Saccharomyces cerevisiae S288C: one gene and its partners. Each later gene encodes a partner of the first gene's protein in a complex. Each region holds a gene or a part of one and is shown in the gene's direction. Other genes may lie near its edges.

Region 1 (6,027 bases):
CTCTATCGAAGGTCCTATTATCCATCTGTTCTTTGTTAACAGACGCTAATCCTGACGATCCTTTAGTACCAGAAATCGCTCATATCTACAAGACTGACAGACCCAAGTACGAAGCTACAGCCAGAGAATGGACAAAGAAATACGCTGTATAAACAGAAGTCCTTACTCAGCTGAAAAAGAGAAGCAAGATTTATATGGGATTGGACGATGAAAAGAATATTAGATACAATGTATTTAAGAAAGAATACAATAAAATATATGTATATTCTATCTCTAATAACATAGATTTACTGATATAAGATATAAGACTATTGTTGGCAACAGTACAGGGGAACCTTTTTTTTTTTTTCCAAACAACTCGAATCGTAAACCTTAATTTAATTTATTCAGGGGAGATTCATGAACATTTTTTTCCTCGAACAGTATGGAGAATTTTTGCTTAGTTACATGCACGCAAGCGCGGGTATATCCCGCATATATTTCAGTTGTGGTTCATATTTGACCTAACTTGTCGAGGGAGCGTCAACGTTAACCGTACCTTTTTCATTTCTAGTCTATCTGTAGGTTAATTACTATTGTCATTAACATCATTTCTGGGGTGAAGCCTATTTAAATTTTTGAAGTTCAACGCATAGCTAGTATATGTAATCAACGATCAATGACTGGTTCTCTGTTTGGCAAAAATTCTGAGGAGCATTACACTGTACTAAGGAGGCAGAAGAATAACTGCAGGAGTAGCCAAAAAAATCTCCGCGACGGGGAATTGAACCCCGATCTGGCACGCGACAAGCGCCCATTCTGACCATTAAACTATCACGGAAGAAACAAAGCACTCACGATGGGGGTCGAACCCATAATCTTCTGATTAGAAGTCAGACGCGTTGCCATTACGCCACGCGAGCTACTATTTGTTGAAGGTTTTATGAAATAACGAAAACATGTTTCCTCTAAAGATGGATGTGCTTCCAGTATTATTCTTGTATGACAATTCATTTGTTTTTGGTGTCGGCTTGTATTAAAGACTTATATCTGTAATATATCTGTATAAATACCAATGCAAGGATATATTAAATGAAAGTTAGCATATTTCAATTGGCTTTTTAGAATAAAGACGAAATTTTTTTAAAGGTAAAATACCCCACTGAAACCTTATGCTCTTTTATTGTACATATAGGAAAATTGGTCAAATGCTGGCCAGCTTTAACTGAAATAAATCTCTACAGGAATGCTTGTTGGGACTAACTCCAGTGAATAATTATTAGGGCTGCGATTATATTCTTGATGGTACGGGTAACTTTCTAATATTTCAGATCCAAGTAATGAAAAGTGAATGTACACTCGTAAGTCTTCAATTATGTTAGATGTACAAAGGAAAAAAGATCATTGGAGAAGTTGGCAAAATACATCTTTTATTTATTTAGCAAGTCAAACAATAAGATCTTTCCTTTTTTCAGATTGAACTTCGGATCAGTGAAAATTGTTGGTTACTCTTTAAACTGTAACACTACAAAGAAATTAAGTCTGAATAATGACTGAAAGAATACCAATAAAGAATTATCAAAGAACAAATGCCAAAGCTTTACTTAAATTGACTGAAAAACTTTTTAACAAGAACTTTTTTGATCTCTATTTAACCTCTCAGCAATTGGTCGTTCTTGAATACCTGCTGTCGATTTCAAGTGAAGAAGACAAACTGAAAGCATGGGACTATTTCTTAAAGGGAAACATAGCATTAAATGTCGAAAAATCATTTCCATTAACCCAAGAAGAAGAACATCACGGAGCGGTCTCTCCTGCCGTTGACACACGATCAGATGATGTATCATCACAAACAATTAAGGACAATAACAATACTAATACCAACACCAGTATCAGCAATGAAAATCATGTTGAAAATGAAATTGAAGATAAAGGCGATAACGCAATAGCAAATGAAGATAATTTTGTGAATAATGACGAAAGTGATAATGTTGAAGAAGACTTATTCAAATTAGATCTAGAGGACTTGAAGCAGCAAATAAGCGGAACAAGGTTTATTGGAAACTTATCCTTGAAAATCAGATACGTCTTGTGGCAGTGCGCCATAGATTATATATACTGTGATCGTAATGAGTTTGGTGATGAAAATGATACAGAATACACCCTATTAGATGTTGAAGAGAAGGAGGAAGAGGAAATTGGTAAAAATGAGAAGCCACAAAACAAAGAAGGTATTTCGAAGTTCGCCGAGGATGAAGATTACGACGATGAAGACGAGAACTATGATGAAGACAGTACAGACGTAAAAAATGTCGATGATCCTCCAAAAAATCTCGATTCTATTTCCTCTTCTAATATCGAAATTGACGATGAACGACGCTTGGTGCTAAATATCTCAATATCAAAAGAAACACTGTCAAAGTTAAAAACAAATAATGTAGAAGAAATTATGGGAAATTGGAACAAAATTTACCACAGTTTTGAATACGATAAAGAAACTATGATAAAGCGATTAAAACTTGAAGAAAGCGATAAAATGATAGAGAAAGGAAAGAAGAAACGAAGTCGAAGTGATTTAGAAGCAGCTACCGATGAACAAGATCGCGAAAATACAAATGATGAGCCAGATACTAATCAAAAATTGCCCACTCCTGAAGGTTCAACATTCAGCGATACTGGGAACAAGCGCCCCAAACAAAGTAATTTAGATTTAACAGTCAATCTAGGCATCGAAAATTTATCATTAAAGCACCTTCTATCATCTATCCAGCAAAAAAAATCCCAATTAGGAATATCAGATTACGAATTAAAACATCTGATTATGGATGTCAGAAAAAATCGGTCAAAATGGACATCGGATGAAAGAATTGGGCAAGAGGAATTATACGAAGCCTGTGAAAAGGTTGTTTTGGAACTTAGAAACTACACTGAGCATTCTACACCATTTCTGAATAAAGTGAGCAAAAGAGAAGCCCCCAATTATCATCAAATCATCAAAAAGTCCATGGACCTGAATACTGTTTTAAAAAAACTGAAAAGCTTTCAATATGACTCCAAACAAGAATTTGTAGACGATATTATGCTAATATGGAAAAATTGTTTGACCTATAATTCAGATCCTTCACATTTTTTGAGAGGGCATGCTATTGCTATGCAGAAGAAATCTCTTCAGTTGATTCGCATGATTCCAAATATCACAATCCGAAACAGGGCTGATTTAGAAAAGGAAATTGAAGATATGGAAAAAGACAAAGACTACGAATTAGATGAGGAAGAGGAAGTTGCTGGTTCTGGAAGAAAAGGATTGAATATGGGAGCTCATATGTTGGCCAAAGAGAATGGCAAGGTGTCAGAAAAAGATAGCTCTAAAACCGTCAAGGATGAAGCACCAACCAATGATGACAAACTAACTTCTGTCATCCCTGAGGGGGAAAAAGAGAAAGATAAAACTGCTTCATCTACTGTAACGGTACACGAAAATGTAAATAAGAACGAAATAAAAGAAAATGGGAAAAATGAAGAGCAAGATATGGTTGAGGAAAGTAGTAAGACTGAGGATTCATCAAAAGATGCTGATGCTGCCAAAAAGGATACGGAAGACGGACTACAAGATAAAACTGCAGAAAATAAGGAGGCTGGGGAAAATAATGAAGAGGAAGAGGATGATGATGACGAAGATGAAGACGAAGACATGGTCGACTCCCAATCTTATTTACTTGAAAAGGATGACGATAGAGACGATTTGGAAATATCCGTGTGGAAAACTGTAACTGCCAAAGTTCGTGCGGAAATTTGCTTAAAAAGAACTGAATATTTTAAAAATGGAAAATTAAATAGTGATTCAGAGGCGTTTTTGAAAAACCCACAAAGAATGAAAAGGTTCGACCAGCTTTTTCTTGAATATAAAGAGCAGAAAGCTTTAGAATCATATCGTCAAAAAATAGAGCAAAATTCCATTATGAAAAATGGCTTTGGAACAGTACTAAAACAGGAAGACGATGACCAATTGCAGTTTCATAATGATCACTCTTTAAATGGAAATGAAGCTTTTGAAAAGCAACCCAATGATATTGAGTTAGATGATACCAGATTCCTACAGGAATATGATATTAGTAACGCCATTCCTGACATAGTATACGAGGGAGTAAATACTAAAACATTAGACAAGATGGAAGACGCTTCCGTGGACCGCATGCTTCAAAATGGTATCAACAAACAAAGCAGATTTCTGGCTAACAAGGATTTAGGACTAACACCTAAAATGAACCAAAATATCACACTGATTCAGCAAATTAGGCACATATGCCATAAAATATCCCTGATCAGAATGTTACAGAGCCCTTTATCGGCTCAAAACTCCAGAAGCAATCCCAACGCTTTCCTTAACAACCACATTTATAATTACACTATTATTGATGACTCACTCGATATTGATCCGGTGTCACAGCTTCCAACGCATGATTACAAAAACAACAGGGAGCTGATATGGAAATTCATGCATAAGAACATATCTAAGGTTGCTATGGCCAATGGGTTTGAAACTGCCCATCCATCAGCAATAAACATGCTTACTGAAATCGCCGGGGATTACCTATCTAATCTGATAAAGACTTTGAAGCTTCATCATGAAACTAACTCCTTAAATAGAGGAACAAATGTGGAAATGCTGCAAACAACACTGTTGGAAAACGGTATCAACAGGCCAGACGATCTATTTTCCTATGTTGAATCTGAATTTGGTAAAAAAACTAAGAAACTTCAGGACATCAAACAGAAACTAGAAAGCTTTTTGAGAGCCTTATTAAGGCCAACTTTGCAGGAGTTGTCCGAGAGAAACTTTGAAGACGAGAGCCAAAGCTTTTTTACAGGTGACTTTGCCAGCGAATTGACTGGTGAAGACTTCTTTGGTTTTAGAGAGCTTGGATTAGAAAAGGAGTTTGGAGTTTTGAGTTCATCTGTTCCATTACAGTTACTGACTACTCAGTTTCAAACTGTTGACGGGGAAACCAAAGTGCAGGCCAAAAAGATCCAACCGGAAGAATCAGACAGCATTGTGTATAAGAAAATTACAAAAGGTATGCTGGATGCTGGTTCATTCTGGAATACTCTACTTCCCCTATTACAAAAAGATTATGAACGTTCCAAGGCCTATATAGCAAAGCAAAGCAAGTCATCTGCAAATGATAAAACCTCAATGACTTCCACAGAAGACAATTCTTTCGCTTTACTAGAAGAGGATCAGTTTGTCTCAAAGAAAACCGCAACGAAGGCAAGATTACCTCCTACTGGTAAGATAAGTACCACATACAAAAAGAAACCGATCGCAAGCGCGTTTATACTTCCAGAAGAAGACTTGGAAAACGACGTAAAAGCGGATCCAACAACAACTGTAAACGCCAAAGTGGGTGCAGAAAATGATGGAGATTCTTCCTTATTTTTGCGAACGCCTCAACCTTTAGATCCTTTGGATATGGATGATGCTTTTGATGATACCAATATGGGCAGCAATAGTTCATTTAGCTTGAGCCTTCCTCGCCTTAATCAATAATGAGCGCGCTAAATAGTTGAATATTTTATCTTTAATTAAATACATTTGCTTATAAAGGTTGTACTATTTACTTGTAGTTGATGTAGGATTCCAATTCAATGCACTTTAATACTCAGAGTACGCTTTATACTTCTGCAGTACCCTCTCTAAAATGTCACCTAGTATTTTTTTCTCTTTACACAAGCGTAGCGTCACTAAAAAAAGGTATTTCCCATGGGTTAATTCGGTATCACACTATACGTTAGGCGTACCAAATTTCGAGATTCATGAAATTGGCTTATTCGTAGCCTTTAAGTACTACCGTTGTTTCTCTCAAAGATAAGAGCAAATAGTACCGTATATTCAGCCTTTATAAATTGAGTATGTTCAAGATACCTGGTTTTGGAAAAGCTGCTGCAAATCATACTCCACCAGATATGACAAACATGGATACCCGTACACGCCATTTAAAGGTGTCAAACTGTCCAAATAACTCCTATGCACTCGCAAACGTAGCTGCT
Region 2 (3,182 bases), on another chromosome or scaffold:
CCCGGGCCCCATGCTTGGGAAGCATGAATTCTAACCACTGAACCACTTTCGCTAAGAAGATCTAGCTTACATAGGTTTTGTGGTAATATAAATTCTTGAGACCGTAACCGCGCAAAGAAATACCTAAAATAGTAATTGCTAACTACATCTAAAAACAGACTGAAGCTCACTAGATATGAGACTTTTCTCACATCTTCAAAATAAAGAAAACAATAGCAGGCGAAATTTTTTTGAACCTGGTTATACAGTGCATGCTCCAAAATGTCGTCTTTAAACACTACTTTTTATTCTAAATAATTACTTGAAGGGGGGAAAGAAAAAGCTCAAAAACTACTCTTTTAAGACTTTATTACCGTCCTTATGATATATCATTAAATAGGCTGTGAACCCTTCACCATTCGGATCGCAATTGCCGTTAGAGTCGACCTCACACTCACCGTATTTGAACGTCATGTAATTTCTAAATCCAAAATATTCGTACACAGATTTAGCATGCTCGGCAATAGCTTCAAGGACAATGGCGCAATTTTCTTCGTCTGCTCTCCTTTTGTACTCTTCAAAAATAGTCCTTACAGAACCTCTGATTCCTTTCTCATTTAAGTTCTTACCAATACAGAAAAGATAGTAGTAATTGATGCCATTTGGAATGACTTGCTTTACGCGAGCATTTAAATCGTCAATAAAGTCCTTGTTGAACTTTGCATCATTACTCCTTGCCTTCGGAACGTGAGGTGGAAGACTCCACACTGCAACAGCATCGAAAGTATTAACTTCGGAGATCTCACCATAAGGTGAATCCAGGAATGGCGATATGATATCGGTGGTTATTGTCCTTGTAGGCACCTTCTCAGCTAGAGGAATATTTAAGATTTTCTTGCAGATAAAATGAAACGCTGGCGAGTTACTAAAAGCAATAGACAAAGTCTCTGCTGCTCTTCTGGCATCCGTAGTCTTGTTCAGGGTACAGACCATATGGCCCTTAGCATCGTTGTTTTCTAATGGAGTTGGCAGTTTGTTCTCGAAGGACATGATGTTCGGTTACATGTCTTAGAATTATTTTCTCGAGATTAGTGAGTGACTTGGCATAATATCAGGTACAATAACTGTTATATATACGCCGGCGGCATTTCATTTTTTTCACTTATCTCAGCCCCTGGGACTCTGATGCCGTTCACACCAACGTCTGCTGTGATTTGGAGTGAAATATCTGGATACTAATAGAAATATTACGATAAAAAAGAGTTATCTACAGTTTGCTGCATTATTTTTGCGTTATCGGTCAATCAACTTTAAGAGATCACCGTACATTTCCGGCAGCATTAGCGGGCGTCTCTTAGTTTCTTTGCAATACAGTAGGAACTCCAATTTTTTGTTCGTCTCCTCGCTACATTCAGATTCAACTGCAATCTCGAAAACAAGTTTTTTATGCCGCCAAAATAGGTATACATTGCGTTCAATGCATTCTCATTCATCTCTATCGCAAGAACGTCTTGTTCAAAGCTGCCCTTTCTTGAGGCTTCAAGCGCAGCGCACAGAAAAGAAGAAAATCCGAACCATGTAATATAGATCGGCGGAAACGAAAAGTAAAAAGTAAGGTTGAAGACACTCTGAACCCGGGGAAGAGTGCATACAAGGTACCGTGCCAAAATTCAAGAGATTAGGGCAGGAATGATGGACAAGCATAAGTATCGTGTGGAGATTCAACAGATGATGTTTGTCTCTGGTGAAATTAACGACCCACCCGTAGAAACCACATCACTGATAGAAGATATAGTGAGGGGTCAAGTGATAGAAATTCTTTTACAGTCAAACAAAACGGCGCATCTTAGGGGAAGTAGGAGCATTCTCCCTGAAGACGTCATTTTCTTGATCAGACACGACAAGGCCAAAGTCAATCGTTTGAGAACATATCTGTCATGGAAGGATTTGCGTAAAAACGCCAAGGACCAAGATGCTAGTGCCGGTGTAGCGAGTGGCACTGGAAATCCTGGGGCAGGTGGTGAAGATGATTTGAAAAAAGCAGGTGGTGGCGAGAAAGACGAAAAAGATGGTGGAAACATGATGAAGGTCAAGAAATCCCAAATTAAGCTGCCATGGGAATTGCAGTTTATGTTCAATGAACATCCTTTAGAAAATAATGACGACAATGATGATATGGATGAGGATGAACGAGAAGCTAATATAGTCACTTTGAAAAGGCTGAAAATGGCTGACGATAGAACACGAAACATGACTAAAGAGGAGTACGTGCATTGGTCCGATTGTCGACAGGCAAGTTTTACATTTAGGAAGAATAAAAGGTTCAAGGACTGGTCTGGAATTTCGCAATTAACTGAGGGGAAACCCCATGATGATGTGATTGATATACTGGGGTTTCTAACTTTTGAGATTGTCTGTTCTTTGACGGAAACAGCTCTGAAAATCAAACAAAGAGAACAGGTATTACAGACTCAAAAGGACAAATCCCAGCAATCTAGCCAAGATAATACTAACTTTGAATTTGCATCATCCACATTACATAGAAAGAAAAGATTATTTGATGGACCTGAAAATGTTATAAACCCGCTCAAACCAAGGCATATAGAGGAAGCCTGGAGAGTACTACAAACAATTGACATGAGGCATAGGGCTTTGACCAACTTTAAAGGTGGTAGACTCAGTTCTAAACCAATTATCATGTAAATTTTTGTATAATTTCATCATGGAGGTGCATGGGTTTCCTTCTGGTATGATAAATGTGAGCCAAATGAATTGAAAAATACAAATAAAGATTATGTACGTAGATACGCGTTATAAAGAGGACTATCTGATCATTGGGGTCTTTTTCGTTGTGAAATTGTAACGGGTGAACTCAGTGATTAAAAAATTGCGTGATGTTGAGATACTATGGGGCGACAAGAAACTTACCCTTAGTATTCAGCATTAACAAATTAATGTTGAGGGCGTCATCTTTCACCAGGCCATTTCATTATAGTTCATATTCTCTACAGAACGGTGATACTCCTGATAAAGGCAGCACTAATAAAAATGAAATACGGACACCTAATAACGCTGTTTGGAAAGAAAATATAGAACTTCAATGGCAGCACTTGAAAAAGAAATTAAATGAATTGTATTCTAGGTTTAACTTCCACCGAGATCAATTATCCTTTCAAGTTAACAAGGCCAAAAAATCAATTCAA
Region 3 (3,777 bases), on another chromosome or scaffold:
TCAGCGTCGCGTTCAGGAAGTGCTTTTTTTAATAATTTTTCCCGCCGACTAGTAAAACTTTGCCTTCAATTAGCGTCCTTTACTATTAAATTTTGCTTTTCTTACTGGCTTTAGAAGCAGCTACCTTTCCCTCCAATTTATTCCAAAGCTCATCTGCGTCTTCTTCAAGTTCTGTAACCTTCCTTTTTTGCTTCCCTTTGGCAGCTTTCGCACTTGGACTTAGTGGCATCTCGATTTCAACGTCATCCAGCATAACAATAAAATTTATACGGGACCCAACATAAACCTTCACCAGCATTTTGTTAGTTTTTATATCGAAGATCCGAACATACCTATCTAAACCACCTTGTAAAAGATATTTGCCGTCATGTACATGAATATAGGTTGACGAACCAGTGATATCATCTCTACCCACCTTGCCCAACATTCTTCCATTACCATCGAATTTAAAAACATTCTTTTTGTAGTCAGTAGTAATCACATTCAGTTCATTAAAGGTTTCAGATTGAAAATTCCCCAACGAAGAGACAACATTTTCTCCCTTGGCATCAAAAACTTCCATCTGAGATAATGGTTCACGGTTAGGTAATAAATCTATCTGAGCGAACGGTTTTCTGCCATGTTGTGTGCTGTATTTGGTGAGGTGGGACCAACGGGTTATGGCTGCAAACTGGTAGTTCAGCTTACCCTTTTCAGTTTTACCAGGGGAGGGCTCCAAAAATCTTAGGGCCATGGGCCATACTGGGACTCTCATATCCAACCTGTCGTTTTTAACATTCTTGGCTTCCCAAATTTGCTTTAAAGATTGGAAACTCGAATCTATTTCCACTAATTTTATTAAATTCTCCTCCCCTCCGTATGCAAATATATATTTATCAGTATCGGTATCTTCTAGATCATATAACTGAAGAAATTCTACTGGTGCTTTCAGTCCAAGGGATGCTAGTTTTATTAACTTTTTATCTTCTCCTTTTTTTATAATATGTAATAATCCCGATTTGGTAGCAGCTACGAATGTGTTATTCGACGAATCCTTTTTTATGGGACATAATGTGACAAAACCATCCACCAACTTGGTTCTTTTAACAGATTTACTTGAAAGTGATTCCAATTTGGCATCATCAAAAAGGTCTGAAACTGAGCTGGTTATCTCAAACTCGGATATGTCAAATTTGGGTAGATCATCGGAAAGGCTCTTTTCATTTTTGCTTTCTCCTTTGGGATCGACCTGGAGAGCTTCATTTTCTTTAAGGTGTTTCGAAATCTTTACAAGTTCGACGACCCCTGAATTCCTTGCTAAGATGGCTTCATCTTCGGATATCACCCACATCCTGTCAACGTAAGCTTTCAATCCTTCGGCTAGATGAGGTGCCACATGAAAAGGCTGCAGTGCTGATTGTACGGAAGTGTCAGTCCCGATGTTACACAAAACTTCCTTTATGGATCCACTATCCACACAGCTGACTAGTAACCTCATTTTACGATCGAAGCTGGGCCTATTTATGGTTAAATTTTCTCTGTATTATGTTCATTGAAGTGAGGCTTCGAGATTGGGCATCGCTTTACAAAATTTTTCAGCTTTATTTTATTACCAAAAAAATACCCGGAAACCATCAATAACAAACACCGATTCAAGTAGCAGCAAAAGTAGTTCATGAGCGAAAACAATAGATTGGCTTTAAAAAGGAAGCAAAGGACGCCTCAGTGTAGTTGATAGCCTGTTAAAATGTCTACACAGCAGCAATCTTACACAATTTGGTCTCCACAAGATACTGTTAAAGATGTCGCTGAGTCGCTTGGGTTGGAAAATATCAACGATGACGTGTTGAAAGCACTTGCTATGGACGTTGAATACCGTATTCTAGAGATTATTGAACAGGCAGTCAAGTTTAAAAGACACTCTAAAAGAGATGTTTTAACTACAGACGATGTATCGAAGGCCCTGCGTGTTCTGAATGTGGAACCTTTATATGGATATTATGATGGCTCTGAAGTTAATAAAGCTGTATCATTTAGTAAGGTTAACACAAGTGGAGGACAGTCGGTTTACTACCTGGATGAGGAAGAAGTAGATTTTGATAGATTAATAAATGAGCCATTACCGCAAGTGCCTCGTCTACCAACTTTTACTACACATTGGCTAGCAGTTGAAGGGGTTCAACCTGCCATAATCCAAAATCCAAATTTGAATGATATAAGGGTATCCCAACCACCATTTATTAGAGGTGCTATTGTCACTGCTTTGAATGATAACAGCCTCCAAACACCTGTAACGTCGACGACAGCAAGTGCTTCTGTGACGGATACAGGCGCCTCTCAACACCTGTCTAATGTTAAACCAGGACAGAATACTGAAGTCAAACCTTTAGTGAAACACGTTTTATCCAAAGAATTACAGATTTATTTCAATAAGGTCATTTCAACCTTGACAGCGAAGAGTCAAGCTGATGAAGCTGCACAGCATATGAAACAAGCAGCTTTGACTTCACTACGAACTGATAGTGGCCTGCACCAACTGGTTCCATATTTTATTCAATTTATTGCCGAACAAATCACACAAAATCTTTCCGATTTACAATTGCTAACAACAATTTTGGAAATGATTTACTCTTTACTAAGCAATACTTCTATTTTCCTGGACCCTTATATTCATTCGTTAATGCCTTCCATTTTAACCTTGCTATTAGCAAAAAAACTTGGTGGATCACCAAAAGATGATTCGCCGCAAGAAATTCATGAATTTTTAGAAAGAACGAATGCACTACGTGATTTTGCCGCATCTTTGTTGGACTATGTATTGAAAAAATTTCCTCAAGCATACAAATCCCTGAAGCCAAGAGTAACTAGGACACTGCTAAAGACATTTTTGGACATAAACCGTGTTTTTGGGACTTACTATGGGTGCTTAAAGGGTGTATCGGTACTAGAAGGTGAATCCATCAGATTCTTCTTAGGAAACCTAAATAATTGGGCGCGCTTGGTATTCAATGAAAGCGGAATAACTCTAGACAATATAGAGGAACATTTGAACGATGACTCCAATCCAACTAGGACCAAATTTACTAAAGAAGAAACTCAAATCTTGGTTGATACTGTAATTAGTGCATTGTTAGTTCTAAAAAAGGATTTACCAGATTTGTACGAGGGTAAAGGTGAAAAAGTTACGGATGAGGATAAGGAAAAATTGCTAGAGAGGTGTGGTGTCACTATTGGATTTCACATTTTGAAAAGAGACGACGCAAAAGAATTAATTAGTGCGATATTTTTTGGCGAATAGTGAGAATCGGTTTATACTAATAGTACAACGGTAATGTTATATAACAGTTTTTACATACGCCATTGTATGTATATATATATATATGCATGATGAGTTATTTAATTGTATACTCAAAGGCCCCCGAAGTGCGAAATTGTTGTAGCTTAGTTTTATTTTATTCCCTTTTCGTCCAAGAAAAGCTACAAAGATGGAGTTGGGTCAACTACTTGCCAGCGAAGGTGGTCTCGCAGTTTCTTATTCTATGTGGATTCTGGAGCAAATAAACGTCTTCTTACTCTCCTTTTTGAGCTATTTTCCGGGGGCTTATTAGTGGGAGTAGAGGTAATATTGGAGGTATTTTTTCTGCCTTCATGCGTATCATCATCCTTGAAATTTAGCGGCGATTCAATGATGCTTTGAAGTTGCGCCTTTTTATTAGGTGTCACAGTTCTTTTTTTCACAGCAGGAGTGGCTTGAACTTGTACGTTTTCCTCAGAGTCTACACGTTCATGTAGGCGTAT

The links. The genes of interacting proteins can lie anywhere in the genome.
Region 2: the proteins of SPT7 (region 1) and SPT3 are in contact, whole or in part, in a cryo-EM structure (PDB 6T9K), measured with the Saccharomyces cerevisiae proteins. Residues at the interface, in NP_009637.1 of Saccharomyces cerevisiae: Ile912 (codon at 4,262), Ile915 (codon at 4,271), Arg916 (codon at 4,274), Cys919 (codon at 4,283), His920 (codon at 4,286), Ile922 (codon at 4,292), Gly995 (codon at 4,511), Glu997 (codon at 4,517), Ile1010 (codon at 4,556), Tyr1014 (codon at 4,568), Asn1017 (codon at 4,577), Lys1020 (codon at 4,586), Thr1021 (codon at 4,589), Leu1045 (codon at 4,661), Glu1046 (codon at 4,664), Asn1047 (codon at 4,667), Gly1048 (codon at 4,670), Asn1050 (codon at 4,676), Lys1066 (codon at 4,724), Lys1069 (codon at 4,733), Leu1070 (codon at 4,736), Ile1073 (codon at 4,745), Lys1076 (codon at 4,754), Leu1077 (codon at 4,757), Phe1080 (codon at 4,766); in NP_010680.1 of Saccharomyces cerevisiae: Leu145 (codon at 2,101), Gln146 (codon at 2,104), Met148 (codon at 2,110), Phe149 (codon at 2,113), Asn150 (codon at 2,116), Glu151 (codon at 2,119), His152 (codon at 2,122), Pro153 (codon at 2,125), Leu154 (codon at 2,128), Asp316 (codon at 2,614), Met317 (codon at 2,617), Arg318 (codon at 2,620), Ala321 (codon at 2,629), Leu322 (codon at 2,632), Asn324 (codon at 2,638), Phe325 (codon at 2,641).
Region 3: the proteins of SPT7 (region 1) and TAF6 are in contact, whole or in part, in a cryo-EM structure (PDB 6T9I), measured with the Saccharomyces cerevisiae proteins. Residues at the interface, in NP_009637.1 of Saccharomyces cerevisiae: Arg168 (codon at 2,030), Gly171 (codon at 2,039), Asn172 (codon at 2,042), Leu175 (codon at 2,051), Lys176 (codon at 2,054), Arg178 (codon at 2,060), Tyr179 (codon at 2,063), Trp182 (codon at 2,072), Gln183 (codon at 2,075), Ala185 (codon at 2,081), Ile186 (codon at 2,084), Asp728 (codon at 3,710), Asp731 (codon at 3,719), Ile734 (codon at 3,728), Lys751 (codon at 3,779), Arg752 (codon at 3,782), Thr753 (codon at 3,785), Glu754 (codon at 3,788), Leu849 (codon at 4,073), Glu851 (codon at 4,079), Tyr852 (codon at 4,082), Ile854 (codon at 4,088), Ser855 (codon at 4,091), Asn856 (codon at 4,094), Ala857 (codon at 4,097), Ile858 (codon at 4,100), Pro859 (codon at 4,103), Asp860 (codon at 4,106), Ile861 (codon at 4,109), Val862 (codon at 4,112); in NP_011403.1 of Saccharomyces cerevisiae: Asp67 (codon at 1,925), Arg74 (codon at 1,946), Tyr82 (codon at 1,970), Gly83 (codon at 1,973), Tyr84 (codon at 1,976), Tyr85 (codon at 1,979), Asp86 (codon at 1,982), Gly87 (codon at 1,985), Ser88 (codon at 1,988), Glu89 (codon at 1,991), Glu112 (codon at 2,060), Glu113 (codon at 2,063), Glu114 (codon at 2,066), Val115 (codon at 2,069), Asp116 (codon at 2,072), Phe117 (codon at 2,075), Asp118 (codon at 2,078), Leu120 (codon at 2,084), Ile121 (codon at 2,087), Asn122 (codon at 2,090), Glu123 (codon at 2,093), Pro124 (codon at 2,096), Leu125 (codon at 2,099), Pro126 (codon at 2,102), Gln127 (codon at 2,105), Val128 (codon at 2,108), Pro129 (codon at 2,111), Arg130 (codon at 2,114), Leu131 (codon at 2,117), Thr133 (codon at 2,123).

Annotation. Positions count from the first base shown.
Region 1 is NC_001134.8:400,753-406,779, reverse strand, and holds SPT7 (SAGA histone acetyltransferase complex subunit SPT7), read left to right. Parts: upstream 1-1,528; coding exon 1,529-5,527; downstream 5,528-6,027. Other genes in the region: E2 ubiquitin-conjugating protein UBC4, read left to right, coding at 1-152; AAA family ATPase SEC18, read left to right, coding at 5,890-6,027. UniProt on the Saccharomyces cerevisiae protein: Component of the transcription coactivator SAGA complex. SAGA acts as a general cofactor required for essentially all RNA polymerase II transcription. At the promoters, SAGA is required for transcription pre-initiation complex (PIC) recruitment.
Region 2 is NC_001136.10:1,257,028-1,260,209, forward strand, and holds SPT3 (transcriptional regulator SPT3), read left to right. Parts: upstream 1-1,668; coding exon 1,669-2,682; downstream 2,683-3,182. Other genes in the region: IAT4 (Iat4p), read right to left, coding at 331-1,029; SHE9 (She9p), read left to right, coding at 2,874-3,182. UniProt on the Saccharomyces cerevisiae protein: Component of the transcription coactivator SAGA complex. SAGA acts as a general cofactor required for essentially all RNA polymerase II transcription. At the promoters, SAGA is required for transcription pre-initiation complex (PIC) recruitment.
Region 3 is NC_001139.9:297,678-301,454, reverse strand, and holds TAF6 (TATA-binding protein-associated factor TAF6), read left to right. Parts: upstream 1-1,726; coding exon 1,727-3,277; downstream 3,278-3,777. Other genes in the region: ribosome biosynthesis protein NSA1, read right to left, coding at 86-1,477; SLD3 (Sld3p), read right to left, coding at 3,517-3,777.